Linked DNA regions of Mytilus edulis. The protein of the gene in region 2 purifies or fractionates together with the protein of the main gene of each other region. This does not show direct contact. Links are inferred from orthologs where the notes say so. Each region holds a gene or a part of one and is shown on either strand. Other genes may lie near its edges. The genes, in order: DIS3-like exonuclease 1 and exosome complex component RRP40-like.

The links.
Region 1: the proteins of exosome complex component RRP40-like (region 2) and DIS3-like exonuclease 1 purify together in Homo sapiens (affinity purification with mass spectrometry; 6 studies listed by BioGRID and IntAct, counting the BioPlex papers as one, with this or other methods). This does not show direct contact. The link is inferred for Mytilus edulis from reciprocal best matches to the Homo sapiens genes EXOSC3 and DIS3L.

Annotation. Positions count from the first base shown.
Region 1 is NC_092344.1:93,296,668-93,305,332, reverse strand, and holds the start of DIS3-like exonuclease 1, read right to left. Parts: upstream 3,533-8,665; 5' UTR 3,481-3,532; intron 2,102-3,480; 5' UTR 2,067-2,101; coding exon 1,904-2,066; intron 1,318-1,903; coding exon 1,184-1,317; intron 1-1,183. UniProt on the Homo sapiens protein: Catalytic component of the RNA exosome complex which has 3'->5' exoribonuclease activity and participates in a multitude of cellular RNA processing and degradation events.
Region 2 is NC_092344.1:5,614,803-5,623,147, reverse strand, and holds the start of exosome complex component RRP40-like, read left to right. Parts: upstream 1-4,508; coding exon 4,509-4,700; intron 4,701-8,345. Other genes in the region: histone-arginine methyltransferase CARMER-like, read right to left, coding at 288-388, 953-1,075, 4,145-4,277. UniProt on the Homo sapiens protein: Non-catalytic component of the RNA exosome complex which has 3'->5' exoribonuclease activity and participates in a multitude of cellular RNA processing and degradation events.

The DNA.
Region 1 (8,665 bases), about 88 Mb from region 2:
TCTGAAAGCGTTTACAAAAAAAGTCTTTTACAACTGTGATTTTTAACAATTCCATAGCCCGTAATTGCTGTAAAAATTAGCCGAGCGGAACAAAACTTAGACTTGATTTGTAACTCATCTTTGTTTAACTCACATGCCAAAAATCATCCCAACATCTGAAAGAGTTTAGAAAAAAGTCTATATAACTGTGATTTTCAACAATTTATCAAAGTCCAAAGCCCGTAATTTCGGCAAAAATTAGCGGAGCGGAACGAAACTTTAACTTAATCTGTAACTCATCATGGTTAACTCACATATCAAAAATCAGCCCAATATCTGAAGGCGTTTAGAAAAAAACCTCTGTATAATGGTTTGTTGCAGAATGACGGAATTACAGAATTTCGGAATTACGGAATTTCAGAATTACAGAATTACGTAATTTCGGAATTACGAACAAGGGTAAAACTGTATGGCACCGACAACTTCCTTACAGGGCCATAAAAATGTAAATGTCTTGAAATACTAGCATTGTTATCATGATGTGTAATAATGAAAGTAATACCCAAGACAAGGTAGGTGTTTTTAAGGAGATTTTGGGTAAAAGTCAATGAAACAACAATCAAACATCACAATCAAAATTCAAGACAGATAAAGATATTGGAAGTCCATTTTATACAAAGTATAAGATTGATCAGAAGAATATTTTTGGACAAAAAAGGTACAAAATCTGTAAATCTGAATTCCTTGAATGTCATAAATGTGTATTGAAACAAATGCAATTTCACAAACAAGTCTTTGTACAATTTGGAAATTAGTATGGCGTTCATTATCACTGGACTAGTATATATTTGTTTAGGGGCCAGCTGAAGGACGCCTCCGGGTGCGGGAGTTTCTCGCTACATTGAAGACCTGTTGGTGACCCTCTGCTGTTGTTTTTTATTTGGTCGGGTTGTTGTCTCTTTGACACATTCCCCATTTCCATTCTCAATTTTATTTATATGATCAATGAAAGTATATCAATGATGCTTGTATAGTCAAACAAAAAAACTGCACAAATAACATAGTTACAGTATAAAATAAATTACAGTATGAGAAAAAGAGCGTTTGTAAACAAAGAGCTTAAACATTGATTACCATTTATTTCAAACAAATGCTAAAGAATTGTCAAAGTTCAATTATTTTCAAAAAATATTTCTAAACTTACACAGTGTTCAGCTGTCTGTGTAAAGATTATTCCATGAATTTCTGGTGCTTCAAAAACTTCAAGGTATTCTCTGGCAACTTGACAATCTGGGATTATATAGTGTGTCACGTTTGAAGGTAGCAAATCAGAGTCATCTGCAAAGAGTTCCCAGTTTTGTTTACATTAATAGCATGATTAATATTAAACTAAATATGATTATAGGTTTTAATCAAGTATCAAATTCTTTTAAGTTTTAGGTACTTAAATCTGTTTGAAGACCATACCAGGCTGCATTGCCATTTCCCAATAAAATAATATCTACAGAGATTTTTTAAAGTGTAACATAAATATAAAAAAAATTCTATGCAGAATATGACTACATGCATGACATGTAAAGCAACTATATATATATATATATGCTTAAGACAATACAATATGAAACAGCAAAAGTATCAATCAATTTTCAGTATTCACCATGCAAAACTTTATCCAAGATTATGCAATTCAATTAAAATAATGAAAAGTAGAGACAAAAAAACCCTTCATTTTAGCTGTAAGACACAATAGTGGTACATGTGTACTAATAAATCTTATCAGGCAATAAAGAAGCAACATACAAAACCACAATCTCATTTTATTTTTATAATCACAGTTTGTCTGAAAAGATTTACATATATGTAAGATATTTTCATCTCCCTCATCAATACCTTTGATTTGTTTACCATTTATTTAAAATCTCACCTATTCCCACATTGCAATTTCCAAGACATAAACTACTCTGACATGGTATATTTTCTCTCCTATAGACTTCTCTTACAATACTGACACTCTTCCCCTGGCTGTTCTTCAACCTCAAATAACGATTGTCTTTATCTAGAGACTCTGCTTTATTTTCTATGACCATTTTTAGGCTGTCTACATTATCAAATTAACTTTATCCTGAAGAACAAAAATAAAATATGAAAAACCTTTTATTATTTAGAACTATCTTGTTGACCTGAAATTCATTTGTTCAGGATAATCATTGTTAGCTGAGATAATCTTTTATTTCAAAATACCCTTGAACATTGAATTATTTCATGATGTGACAAAAGGATAATTCAAAATCGAAGAAACCAAGAAAATTTGATGTCACAATTAAGTTATGTAATGACCAATCAATTGCAGAGAACAGATATTTCACTAGTGAGGAGAAATATTTTTCTCACACTGCTCAAGAAATGTGAAAAAAGCATGAAAAATAGAGAAATCAAATTGCTTCAAAGCACTGAACCGTAAAGATTGCTTTAATTTATCAGTGGGAAGTAAAAATAAATATTGCATTGGTTGTTGTTGATTTAAAACAGCTATTCTAGACAAAGGAAGATGACTCCAATTTTTAAAGATGATGTTAACAATGACATAATTTATATTTTTAGAACAGATTTTAGATTCCTGCACCTTGCAAACGTTATGTAATTTTCTTGACAAGTGAAACATCATTTTGTGTCTTGAATATCTGAGCATATATCTCGTGGATAAATTTCTGGAAATGTTCATGATTTATAGTATTTATAGAATGTTATGGTTAATGCACTATATTTTGTGTACATGTATCAAAAAAAGCAGTCTTCACGCTGAGTGGCAGCCCAGGGCCTGTAGATTTAGCAGTTCATCGTGAAGACTGAAAAAGTGATCAATTTTGGAACATTTAGATATCAAGTCAGTCCCATATTATGCAATTTTTACCTTAAAACAATAGATCAAAGGAAAATGCTGTCAAATATGTATGAAAACATGTGAGTCACATTTGTGAGTCTTACGCTAACTGTATGAGACTTGATGTATCTGTTTTTCTTTATTGTTGTCTTGTCAATAATTGGGCATTTGGTTTCCTTGTCTTACATGTACATGTCTTATGATATGCTTAGAGCTTTTGATAAAAATGGAGGTTGTATGGCAGCACACATGTACATGTACAGTGATCTACAGTTCATGTGGACTCTGGTGGATAGTTGTCTCAGAGCCAGAGGCAATCATCTCGTGAACATCTCCTTCTTTTCAGTTTAACCATAGCAAGTTAGATGATAGTATAATATAGGCGTATCAATTTGTGAAGCATATAATTTCAGATATGGTTACTTTTAAGTACTGGCACTTGTTTGTTTTCTTAAGATTTTAAAGGGCCAAAAGTAAAGAGGGTCTTTACCATCACATGAAACAAGTGCCTGTGCTTTTGTCTTGAACCTGAAACTAAAGAATCAAATAGTTCACTTTAGTTGTTTAACCTCCTCCTTCTGGTTAATACTACAATGCATATGCAATATGACTATACTCACTTTAAAAAAAAAAACTTTGGGGTACATTTTGTGCATAGGGGACAGAAATGTCAGTTTTGTTTTGTTAATACAAGATTTGTTGCGCGGATGTTTACTCCTTCACGGGAGCACTCTATTCGAAGAAACCAAAGTGGTATTTAATCATGAAATTGATATTAGGGACCAGTAATTATTTATCTTCAGTGGGGCGGCAAAAAAGTAGTGGGTAATGAGAAAATTAGATCTGATAAAGGGGGGTCATTCTTTTTCAGGTTGCTCAAGTAAGGGGGGGGGGGGGGGTCATAATTTGTTTGGCCATATATGCATTGATCGCCATATACCATGACCATAGACTATTAATGAATAGTTGTTTGGGCCCTTTAGAGCTAACTTGTCTAGTTTAACTCTTTCACAAATGTCAAACTGTCACTATCAGTAAAACTAGTCACTTTACTTTACTATTTTACTTTACTCTTTGACGGAGCTAGTTATATTGTCAAGTGACTAATAAATATTGCCAAAAAATGTGCAAAATTAGTCAATTTTCTTATATTTTTCTGAGATGTTATAGGACTAAGAAACTAGGAATAGAGACTACAAAATTGGTTTCATAATCCTGGTTTCACCACAGCAAACATAGACTTTGCTTTTTTGAAGGGGACCCCATTTTTATGTTTCAAGATGAACTCGTATATTTTACAAACTGTTGTTTTAGGTGAACACAAAATATTCTATATAGACTTTTTCAAAGCATTTTCTTCTTATTCTTATTCCGTATCTCAAATATACCTCATGTAGAATATAAATAAATATATGAATGATTTGTTCATTGTCGAAGACCCTCCGTCTTCTACCAGAGTGGAAGGCAACAGTTTTGAAATGAATCACTTAATTTATACAAGAAATTATTGAAAGACCAGGACTGGCTTCATTTCAGCTGGGAACAGTATATATATGTTCCTGATTTCAGCATCTCTAATTTTGAATAAGACATCTGACATTCTATATGAATACAATTAAAAGTAATGCTCAGTATATCAAACAAAGTTCAAATTTTTACTCTTTAAAACTGTAAATGACAAAATCATAATCAAATACTAGTAAACAACTTAAACTCCAATTAGTGTTGAGTTTGACGAGATGGTGCATATGTAGTAAAGAGAGGAGGGTTTAACTTTTTTAACACATTTTGAAAAGGGGCAATCATATTTTATCCTTTCAAATTTAATTACATTTTGCCGCCCCCTCCCCCTGGAGATAAATAATGACCGGTCCCTTATGTAGGTGTGATAATGAAAAAAAAAAAAAAAAATGAAAGCAACACGCTTAATAATTTCTTGCGTCCGAAGCGCTTTTCTGGATTTACCTTCATCAGAAACGCTCAAAGTCAAACATTTGAAATCCGAAGATGTACAAGTAACGAAACCGTTGAAGAGCTATATGTCAAAATTACCTAAAATAAATAGCCAATTCATCTAAAGCAAACTTTGCCTGAGGGATTTGAAACCTTAATTTCTTAAGAATTTCAAAATTTATAAACGGACAATTTTAGTAAAGTTCATTGGCGGATCCAGGGGGAGGGGGGTGTCCGGGGGTTGGAACCCCTCTTTTTTGGACGATCAATGCATTTGAATGGGAGCATATAGTTGGAACCCCTCCTTTACTCTGGGTTGGGAACCCCCCTACCCCCCTTTTTAAAATGGCTGGATCCGCCACTGAAGTTTGTTCAATCATGTCAGTACCGAAATTATAGACAGTTCTCATATTTAAAAGATTTTTTTTTATATCTAAAAGTGTTAATGAACTTTGCATGTTAAGCCCCTTGTTCAGGGCTATCGGAGAAGATGCAAAGTAGCACAACATTATTAGCTCACCTGTCAGCTTAAATTCTCATTACTTGGCGTCCGTCGTCTGTCGTCCGTCGTCTTCCGTCGTCCGTCGTCCTCCGTCACTTTTACAAAAATCGAACTGCTATAGGCCAAGTTAAACCAAACTTGGCCACAATCATCATATGGTCGATTTGTCCGATGTCGCCGACAGATAATCAAGATGGCCGACATGGCTAAAAATAGAACAACAGGGATAAAATGCAATTTATCTTGCTTATTTTTTTGAAAACAGATATGAATAGAGAAAATCTGAAGAGGTCATAAATGTTTAGAACGTTGGGCTCTACATTCTATTTATTTGTGTCAAAACTGTCAGACGAATTCTTGTCATGTTGTAGGAAGTATCGCCTTTAGATGATGAATTTGTTTTATTTTTTTTTGGCTATTATCTCGAAAATTGCAATAGATCGATATAGACAGGCACTTTGAAAAACAAAAATGATCAGCAAGACAAGACTTACAAATAATTCAACACGGCCAAAATATATAAGTCACTCCTTATTAGAGGATTGTCCTATAATGACGACTTTACACATTTTTTGTTTTGTGTTTTTGCATAATATCTTAAAAACAATATCAAATAGATAAATACTTTAAATAGCAAAAATTATCAGCAGTAATAGATCTGTAGATAAGTCAACATGACCCCAATTGATAGTCGTTTCTCTATTTGAATTATTGACCTTTAAAAATGATTTTCTAATTTTTGCCTATTATCTTGAAAACTGTATTAGATAGATAGAAACATTGAATAAGACAAATGATCAGCAAGACAGGATCCACAAATAATTAAGCCATAATTTTATAGCCGAAGTCATCCGTCGACTCATCAATGGAGTTATTGTCCTTTTATGATAATTTTGTTTGTATTTTTTGCGTATTATCTTGAAATCTATAATAGGATAATCAAAACTTTATATCAGAAAATTACCAGCTGGATAAGGTTGACAGATATGTCAACATGAGCAGAAGAACCTTTATAAATTCATTTCCATTTTATGTTTGCTTTTGTATGCTTTGATTTGTTTATGATTTACCGTGCTTTCATAACAGTATAGATCATAATCTTATGCTTGCTGTGCTTTTATTACAGTATAGATCATTAAGTTATGCTTGCTGTGCTTTCTGTTTTTTTATGTCTGCCCTGTGTTTATTATATGTATGCCTGTTTAAAAATAAATCTTGAGGATACAGAGCTTACTATTTTGTACTGTTATATTCATACCAGACTTTAAATGAATCTTTTGTGTATATGAGGCAAGGGTTATAATCGAAAACTTAGACGTTTCTTCATTTTTATAACTCGTGATCGGACTTTTAAATTTAAGTGGGCTATCACTCAAAGTTGCGAATAGCGAGCTCAAATCATATTTACATCGAGTATTCATTTAAAAGTAATAAGTAAAATAATAAAAATACTGAACTCTGAACACGAAAAATTCAAAACGGAAAGTCCATGTTCAAATGTCAAAATCAAAAGATCAAACACATCAATCGAATAGACAACAACTGTCATATTCCTGACTTAGTACAGGCATTTTCTTAAGTAGAAAATGGTGGATTAAACCTGATTTTATATCTAGCTAAACCTCTCGTTTGTATGATAGTCGCATTCCATTCCACTATGTTGTCAACGATGTGTGAACAAAACAAACAGACATAATTAAGGTAGCACAATACACAGATTTTATACCTCCAATTCACCAGTTTTAAAATGCTGTAACTTTCTTTATAATGGTTGGAAATTTATAAAAGTGGTATTTATGAATAGCTAACAGATTAGTCTTTCAAATTAATGCATTTGTTAGTATTATACAACAATTATGTAATCAATTATAATGTTAACTGTGTCTACAAAATGTTACAAGAAATTTCCACTTTCAATTGAAATTAGCTTCTTCATGGATATCCCGGGAGGGTTGATTTTATCATATGTTGTTCCTAGAGCCATTATCTAAAAAAGAGTGTCTCAGATTTTGGATAGAATGTATAGATCACATTTTACACCTAATCAAATATTATCTACTTTTATGTGGTAAGGATGATTACACTAATTAGAGATTTATGAGAGAATGGAATATTTTAGCCATAATTTGAAACACCCTTTTGTAGCTCCTGTTGTTTTGATTAAGATTTCGTTAAAATTTCCTGAATAGTTATAGAGATGATAGAGCTAAATTCATTCAAGTAAACTGACCAAGATTTTGCCATTAATTGTATAATAATTGATTACATATTGATTGCATAACAAAAATATTGCATTTCTTTTTAACGATTAACCTTTTTCTGTCTATATATATACCTCCTTTATTAATTTATATGCAGTCTTTAGAAAGTAACAGCATTTTAAAGGTTGGAGATTGGACGTAAAAAAATCTTTGTATTGTGCTACATTGATAGGTGAAAATATCAAAAATAGGGGTACAGCAGTCAACGTTTTCTTGTTAAAACAAGAATGTGTCCTAAGTAAACGGAGGCCCCATCCGAACTATCATTTTCTATGTTCATTGGACCGTGAAAATGGGGTAAAACCTCTAATTTGGCATTAAAATTAGAAAGATCATATCATAAGGAACAGGTGTACTAAGTTTCAAGTTGATTGGACTTCAACTTCATCAAAAACTACCTCGACCAAAAACTTTAACCTGAAGTGGGACGAACGGACGGACAGACGGACGGACGAACGAACAGACGGAAGCACAGATCAGAAAACATAATGCCCATAAATGGGGCATAAAAATGAATTTCTATCGGTTTCTCTTCTTTTTTTCAAACTTGAGCTGGACAGTTATTTAAATCAATGATTTTCCTACAAATAAATTGTTTTTCCTTCTTTCCAAGCACTATTCATACTTTTTTTTTATATGACAAGCCTGTGAACATGGAATCTTTAATCGGTTATTGATAAGTGTTCTCAACATTTTAATTCAAGGGAAAAAAAAATACTTTACGGACAAAATTTTTTTTGTCTGGCCGTTCTGTCTGTTCTTCATGTTATCCATTTTTAATACTATGTTATGACCAATATTACTCTCTCGTCCTTATCTATGAGTGTTGCTTTTGTTACTTGAACGAAACTTAATTATTACTCTTTTGCATATCAAAACGAATGCTGACACGATTCATAAAAATCATTCATTTCTACTCTGCATTTTCAGCACACGAGGATCACGAAAAGTGAAAGACATTTTTATTTTAACAACACCATTGCGTACGAGTAGACAATCACATAGTCAGGGAAAAGGCAAACATATTGTACAGTGAACAAGAACCAATAATTATTTAATACAGTACTAATGTTCTGCGTTAACCAAAAT
Region 2 (8,345 bases):
TTTTTTTTAACTTTTACCAATTAAAATGAAGATAAATGAAAATTTTTACATAAGAAAATGTTGGCGCCAGAAATATCGCCAGCAGCCGTATTTTGTCGCCAGATGAATAAAAAAAAATCGCAAATTGCAACATTGGCGACGCACAGCGTCCCTGTGAATAGTTTGCTCTACATGTATCTTGGCATAATACTAAAGTAAAGTTGTAAAATTTCTGTCTCATTTTGTCTCTTGTGGAGGATTGTCTTATTGGCAATCATACCACATCTTCCTTTTTTTTATATACAAACCTGAAAGTATTGAACAGCAGATGCTTCTTCTGTTCTTTCTGTAAATACCGATTTTAATACACTCCTCATTTGTTTAAATTGAAACTGAAACTGTTTCATGGCTGAAATAAAAGAGTAACAATATTAATCTATAATAAAAGAATAGATCTTAATAATTTTAAAAATATTAGTGTTCTTTGAATATTTTATTATGCATTACTTCCACGTACATGTTTGGTGTTTTCTTCTTCACTGAAAGTTGATGCTGTCAACCATTATCTTTAATATTACTCATAATGAAGAATTTATATTTAATAAATAATACATAGATAAGATGACCGTAATTAAATAGTCATGTACATGCAACAAGATGCCAAGCTCATACTATCATATTTCCATTTTCTGTGAACCATAAAAACAAATTTGGCATACAATTTAAGTTCACATTATCACAAACATGTGTACTAAGTTTCAAGCTGATGTGACCACAATTCCTAATCTAATATCAAAATACATGTACATGAAACCAAACTTTTACCTGACACTCTGACTCAGACTGAAAAACAATCCTTTCTCCTATCATACACAAGTAATAAAATAAAACAAGTATGAAACGTTCCTTTAAAATTACTAATACCTGTTTCAATGAAATGTATTCATTTAAAAACATAACTACATGTACTTACCATGTATAGATGGAAATCTGACCAATGAACTCTTGTCTTCATTTGTAAAAATAAAGCCCTGCTTTCCATATCGAGAGTATTCTGTACTTGATGTTATCGTAATTACATGAAATTTGTTTCCTCCTATAAAATAGAATTAAATGCAATAATAATGCTCAAAGGGAAAAAAATCTGAGCTAAAACATAAAACAGACAAAAGATTGTTTACATCAAATATAAACTTCCTCTGCCTAAATATATTTTTTGTTTCCCACCTCCAAATGTAATGGATTTTTGGTTTTCCTCTTTCAAGTCCTACACTTATTTATTGTCAGGAGGCAAGTAACACACATATAATATTTTTGTGGCCCTTTTAGTCCAGTAAAACAGGTCCAAGAGGCAGGCACCTTTAAAGCATTCATAAGAAAATTTCCCATTGTCAATGTTTTCTTTGATATGTTCAACATTTGCCCTAAGATAGTCCAGGGTTCCAAATAAGCGCCATCCCACTTGCCCATCGCAAGTACAATCTGCTGCGGGCAAGTGAAACCCATCCAGTGTTGTGTGTTTAATAATGCAGAGTATTAATGTATTACAAGATATATGAAATAAATTGATTTTAAACACAAAAGTTATTCATATTCAGTCAATTAAAGAAGTCAAAATATAAATATTCATCTCTGTACTCTCTGCTCCTTCTAGGGATTATATTGTTTCAAGAATAGTGTTATTTGTTTGACAGTCTGTTCCTCAATTTTGTCCCTATCCTCTTTAGGGTTGAAAACCCCCTCTTACAATAACTTTTGATTATACTCCCTTTAACATTTAAAAGCCATGAATAACTCAGTCAGCCACTTGTCATTAGAACCAGAAACATGGTGCTTGCTGTTATCACTTGCTAAAACTTTAGCTTGGTTGGGATTAGGAGAAGCAATGACATCTGCTTATACTGACAGTGTACAGGAAGGTGTATTCCCCCTTTCATTAGAAGTCATTGGGCTAAAATAAACTACTACTTCCATCATCTGCCTTTAGCTTAGAAGTCACACCTTTATTATTTGCAGAGAACATGTTCATTCAGAATAAATAAAATCGAATATGGTTTAGATATTTGGTATACAACTTTTTAAAACAAATATATTTTAATGAACAGGCTACAGCTGACCAGTTTCCGTAGTTTGACATTACGCTTCCATGTGTATTATTGTTAAAACCTATCTTTGGCAGGTAGATATAATCGAAACTTTACAAACTCGATAAAGTTAAGAGCATTGAAATTATTTACTAGTGACATTATACAGAAGCTGCAGCGAGTCCTTACCCGTGTTGATTGTCACATATTTCCCAACGTACGGTTTTACGATCGATGTTCAATGATCATTTTATTTCTAAAAACACAAGTTTGAAACTAATTTACCTTGCAAGCAACATTTTTTCATTTTCTATTAAAATAAATCGCAGAGTTCACGAAAATGGTCAGTCCTGTCGGTCAAAATGAGGCCCAGACCAGTATTTTGAAAGCTAGTGCCGGTCCTGATGACCGATGTAAAAATGACCGTTGCAGTGTCTTTTTTATCAGTAATTAGTTGTACCGCAATACGTATTTACCTCGGTCATCAGATGTACCTGCTGGTAATTTCCGGTACTGGTTTCCTGTTATAAACAAACGGAAACCTACGGAAACCAAAGCACCGATCTACATGTGGCTTGCTAAATTTGTTCATTAAGCCATCCCAGGCAAACAATCGATGATTGAACCCTTTAATGGAGATAACAAATACTGAGAAATTGATTCAGATGATGAAATGGATAGTAAAGATGACTTTAAATAAGACCAATCAGAAGAAAAGAATCAGTTATTCATTGTTTATTTGCCGGTGGCTGTGAAAAATCAAACTAACAATAATAAAGTTATTTTAGATAAAATATGTTATTATTTTTATTTTAGGACTGGCTAAAATTTTGTAGGACTGACAAATAATCTTGCTTTATCGGTCCCATGACCGACGGGTCTCTGAAATCGTAACCTTAATTAAAGTTTATTTTAACTTTTTCAACTACAAATACTCTCATTCATAATTTTCATCGTAAATATCTTTAGCAATGTGTATTCAAATTTGTCACGTGTTATCAGCACGTTCATTGGTCGTGTTTAAATAGATTCTTCTTCTCGACCAATGAAAAAATCCGTTATTCAAATGGTCAAGTGATCACACACATGATGCGTAAATACAATGTATTTGCCATCTATTTCTTCAATTTCTGCACTGAAGTTTTTAAATTTTAAATTTTCTTCTACAAATACATTTCTTCTTGATGATCATTTACGCTAGTACATGATAACATAGTCCGATAAGGCCGAGATAAGCGTGGCTCAGGGAATCAAATATTAAGGGACAACGGCCAATTAAGACGCTGCAATCTACAAAAATATTACGAAGGCGCTGCCGCACCACAGCGTCCCATCGGCCTGGGGAGAACACTGCCATCACATAGTTGTCTGCCAGGTAAGTTGAAATATTTGGTTTGTGTATAACTATGTCAGAAATTCATTTCTCCAAGGTATATGTATTACCTATTTTTATTTTCTAAATTCAATATTTGATTCATATGCGCATGCAGAAAAATTGTAAACATTGTGTCCCCCAAATAATTATATTGGTCAATTTCTATGTGTTAGCCAAAGGCAGGGCCCATAGACTCTGTAGGCAAATGAACTCGGGGCGAACTAACCAAGGGTGAACATGTATTTACTAATTAGAGCGATCGAACCTAAAAATGTGTAAGGTTAAAGGTTACGGTGGTGCTTCCTGGTAAACAATATTTGTGAACTCCTGCATACAATAAACAAGTTCCCCTCAATCAAGACCTAGTTCCCTTCAGACTTCAAGTAAATTATTAATATAGACAGGAAAATAGGCAAAATCAAACATAAAAAATAACGTTTTTATTCTAAGACGTCATAAAATAATCAACACCTTTTTTATCAGTTGCATCTTAAGAAAAAAACGATCTACTATAATCCATGAATAAGGTCTTCTTATTGAAAAGTTCCAATCAGTGATGCCGCATTATTTCAACGTAAACGATTTATTAATGCTTCGCTATTTCAACGTAAATGCGACCGATATGACATGGATTTTCGAACAATGAAAAATAACTCATTATGAGAATCTTGTTCATACGTTAGTACTAAGCTTAGAAAAGTTATACCTTTAAACAATGTTAATGTTACACAATCTGTTTGTCGTGCCAGTTCAAGTTTGACGGGTTCATCTGTTAAATGTACAAATCTTTCGTCGTCCGAAAGGATGGACACTTGCACGTTGTCATAAGACGACGCCATCTTTCATTCAAACGGAGGCAAATCTTACCTAAAGTTCATATCCGTAAAGTTCAATCACATTTTTATTCGAAAGATTAAAATTAACCTTACTTTAAAATTACAAAATAGACAAAAAAGATGGTTGTACGATTGTTTTATTTGGCTTAATTTTCATGTTATTTTTAAATTTTCTACAATATCGTAATGTTTTACATGTAAACAAACTTTCTGGAAATAGACTTTAGGTTTAAAATGGTGGACCATGCTGGACATGTGTATTTGCCCGGCGAATTAATTTGTAATTTGAAGGAATCAGAGAAAACATCGAAAATTTTAGTTGGACCAGGATTAAGACAAGATGAAGAATCTATAATTGTCACGAAATGCGGCTTACTCCGCTTCAAAGAGCCAAACTTTTATTGGATCGACTCTCATCTAAAACGGGTACATGCTTATCAAAGGGAGATAACTCTTATCTTAAAAAAAAAACAAAAAAACAGAGGGAAATGATCAAGATCTATCAAGTGTTATTGTTGTCAAAGTTTACTAGCATAATTAAATTGGAAAAATGCGAAGGGTTCAGATTTTTTAATTTTAAGGTTCTTGGGAAAATTGACAAATAGTGCCTTAAAATCCTCTCACAGAGACTTCGTGGTGTGAATATTATAATGTTTTATGTCCCCTTTTTTTAAAACTGAGAAAATGGCATTTAAAGTTGGACAGTCTGATATCCAGTCATATAAAACAAGAGCTATGCAAAAAGTATGCGTAATACTAGTTCCAACACATCTGATTAAATTGTCCTTTTCAGAAAGGCACTGGCTACGGTTACATGAAAATGTAACAATAATAAAAATATTATTGTTACATTGGAGACTAATTGCCGGAATGCAAAGTTGGGTGAGGAACCGATTAATTACAAATGTAACGATAATTACTGAGGCTACGGTTACATTACGTTATTGTTACATGAAAAACAGCAATGTACGCTAGATTGATTAAACTTAAATCTTCTATAGTTGTATTGCTTCATTCTTTCATATGTACTAAACAATACTTGTAATTTAATACTGATAAATAATAAAATATTATTATTCAACAAATGGTGTACAACTTGAATAGTTTTACTACGTATTAATGGTTTTGATGTTCTTAAAGATACTACTCAAGATTAGGAGTGTGACTGTCAAAGGCGAAACATATAGTTCAATGGTTTCACTTTATAAAGTATTTAACTGCACACCTACTCTTATTACTGTCATTATACTTTGGACCAATTTTGTTTAAGGTGAAAAATATAAAACTTGGGATGCGTTTTAAACGAAACTGAAACAATATCAAGACATACATTTCATACAGCTTTATAACTTGACGCAAATTGATAATCAAAAGCAAAGTTTGCTAACTGTAACTTAAATACTAAGAAATTCTGTATGTACACGTATCCGCGGAGGACGTAATTTCGTTCATCAAAAATGTGTCGGACTTTAAAAACAACTTACTGGATTTGTAGAAATTGTCATTGTAAATAAAAAAAATTACAGTAAATAAATTGTATGTTATAAATGTATGTAATTAATGTCCTCAACTTATATTATTTAGTACATAATACTAGTCCCATCGTACATTGCTGTTTTTCATGTAACAATAACGCAATGTAACCGTAGCCTCAATAATTATTGTTACATTCGTAATTAAACAGGTCCTTACCCAACCATGCATTCCGACATTTAGTCTCCAATGTAACAATAATATTTTTATTATTGTTACATTTCCATGTAACCGTAGCCAGTGCCTTTCAGAAATCTGATAATGTATATATTATTTCGGCAATTTCATATTTCAAGTTTGGAGATAGTACATTTTAATCTTGTGATAAGTAAAGTTGAAAGAATTAAAATGGTATTGGACATAAAACATTATAATATTATTACTGGGCAATGTATATGCCATTAAAATTGAATAAAATCGGCAGTAGAAACAAAGGCCATACACAATCTTGTTGGTTAAAATAGTGTCTTATGTTTTCTTTGAACTATATAGCTATGCCTGCAAGGCAAACTGGTCGTATAGTTCTTCTGTCTATGCGTCTGTCCTTGCAAGGTTAAGGTTCACGTTGACTTTGTCTTTCTTAATAGAATTTCAATGTTAAAAAACCAGGTTAAGTTTCAGGTTTAAGTTTTTGATATAAGAGTTATGATATCATCAAGCAGCTTTGTACATAGATAGCTTATGATGTGGACTGTTTGATGCAAAGTTGATGCTTGGGTTGTAATAAGTCAAGACTCATTGACTTTGTCTTTTGTAATAAAAAGTCAATGCTAAAGACCAAGTTAGGGTAAGGCCAGATCAAGTTAATTGATAGATTCTCATCCACCTATAATAAATTGAAAATATTGGGTTGAGTTGGACTCTTATATTTTATTTTTACGTATTTTTATTACAGATTCCAAAGAACTTTGTAAAAATACATAAAAAATATAAACCACGGTACCTAATTGGCTGGAACGGATGGGGATAAGAATGTAAAAATTAATTTGATATGATCTTAAGGTTAAGTCTGTAATGGGTCTGTGTCTGAACAAACTGTTAGTCATTTTAAATACAGATCATTGGCGGGCATGTACATGTAGTGTCATTGGACATTCTTTTTCTAAAAGGACAGTAATAAAATGACACATAATAATTAGACAATGACTTTATGAATATAAAACTAAAGAATTACAAAAATGGGACCTTTACTCCTTATAGGATGCTGATTTATAAACAAATCATAATTAGCACATCATCATAACAGTTGGACATTAAGTTCATGACATGATATGAAAGGGATCTGTATATGTTTCAGCTAAACAAAATGTATATTTTTTGCTATTATTCATTAAAAAGCTGTCACTTGGACCATTTGAAAATTTCTATATTTTGTCAATAATATTAACAACATGTAAAGACTATATTTATGTATGAAAGTGCCATAAAGTCCTATTAAATTATAATGCCCTCATTTCATACTATCTCCATTGGTAAACTTTTGTCATGTGACCCAGAATCCGTCAATTTCATTGGTTTGTACTTAGATCACTATAATTCTGAATACAACATTGTATTTGGAGATATATCATTTTAATACTACTGTTTAGGCAAATTTGAAGATAATTAAGCCTGGTTAAATATATAGGGAGATAGAACATTGCAGCACGAAACTATTGACACCCATAACTCATTTCCACTGTAAAATGGACTTATAACATTATAATATTCACACGACGACTTGTCAAGAGCACAGGCGTTTGCTTGTGATAAAAATACACCTTATCGCTATTTGTCCGCCATTACTGGACATCACACAAGTTTCCCGTAAAATTTTGACGTCATAAAAGAAAATATCTGACGCCACAATGGAAAAGAGATTGTTGTATGACGTCAAAAGTTCAAGCGGGACAGATTCTCGGGTCAAGCGGGAATAGCGATAAGGTGTATTTCCTATATACAATGTACTTTAATATAACCTGATAACACAAGGTACTCAACTCTCAAATTTGGAAAATGTTAGCTGGTCGTGAAATTCTGTTACATGCTGATTCCTCAGTGGTCAACCCTACTAAAACTTGTTATGTCGTAAATCTAATTTGATTTTTCTACATAATGGTGTATAACATGCCTACTTTTGTTGACGGAATCATCTGTAGCAGGCCTACCCAAGTGTGTCGATCATAATTTTTTTCCTCTACTGATGCCAGATTGGAAACACTAAACTTGCAGTAAATGATTAATTATAAAAATTATTTTAAATAATACTGTTAGTTTTTGTCTGCATTGTGGGTCTAGGTGTGACACAGGATTGCTGTTTTTTTTGTAAGCCTGACATGAAAGTCAAATTATTGTGCCGTGAAAATGGGTAATGAAGTCTAGCGGGACACAGGAAATAACATAAAAATGAGAATTGCTTACAATAACATGGTGTAAGCAGGATACGGGAATCTGACAAAATAGTAAGCAGGATCCATATATGGCCTTCAACTATGATCAAAGCCCACACTGCATAGTCAGCTCAAAATTACAAAAGTAAAACAATTCAAACGAGAAAAC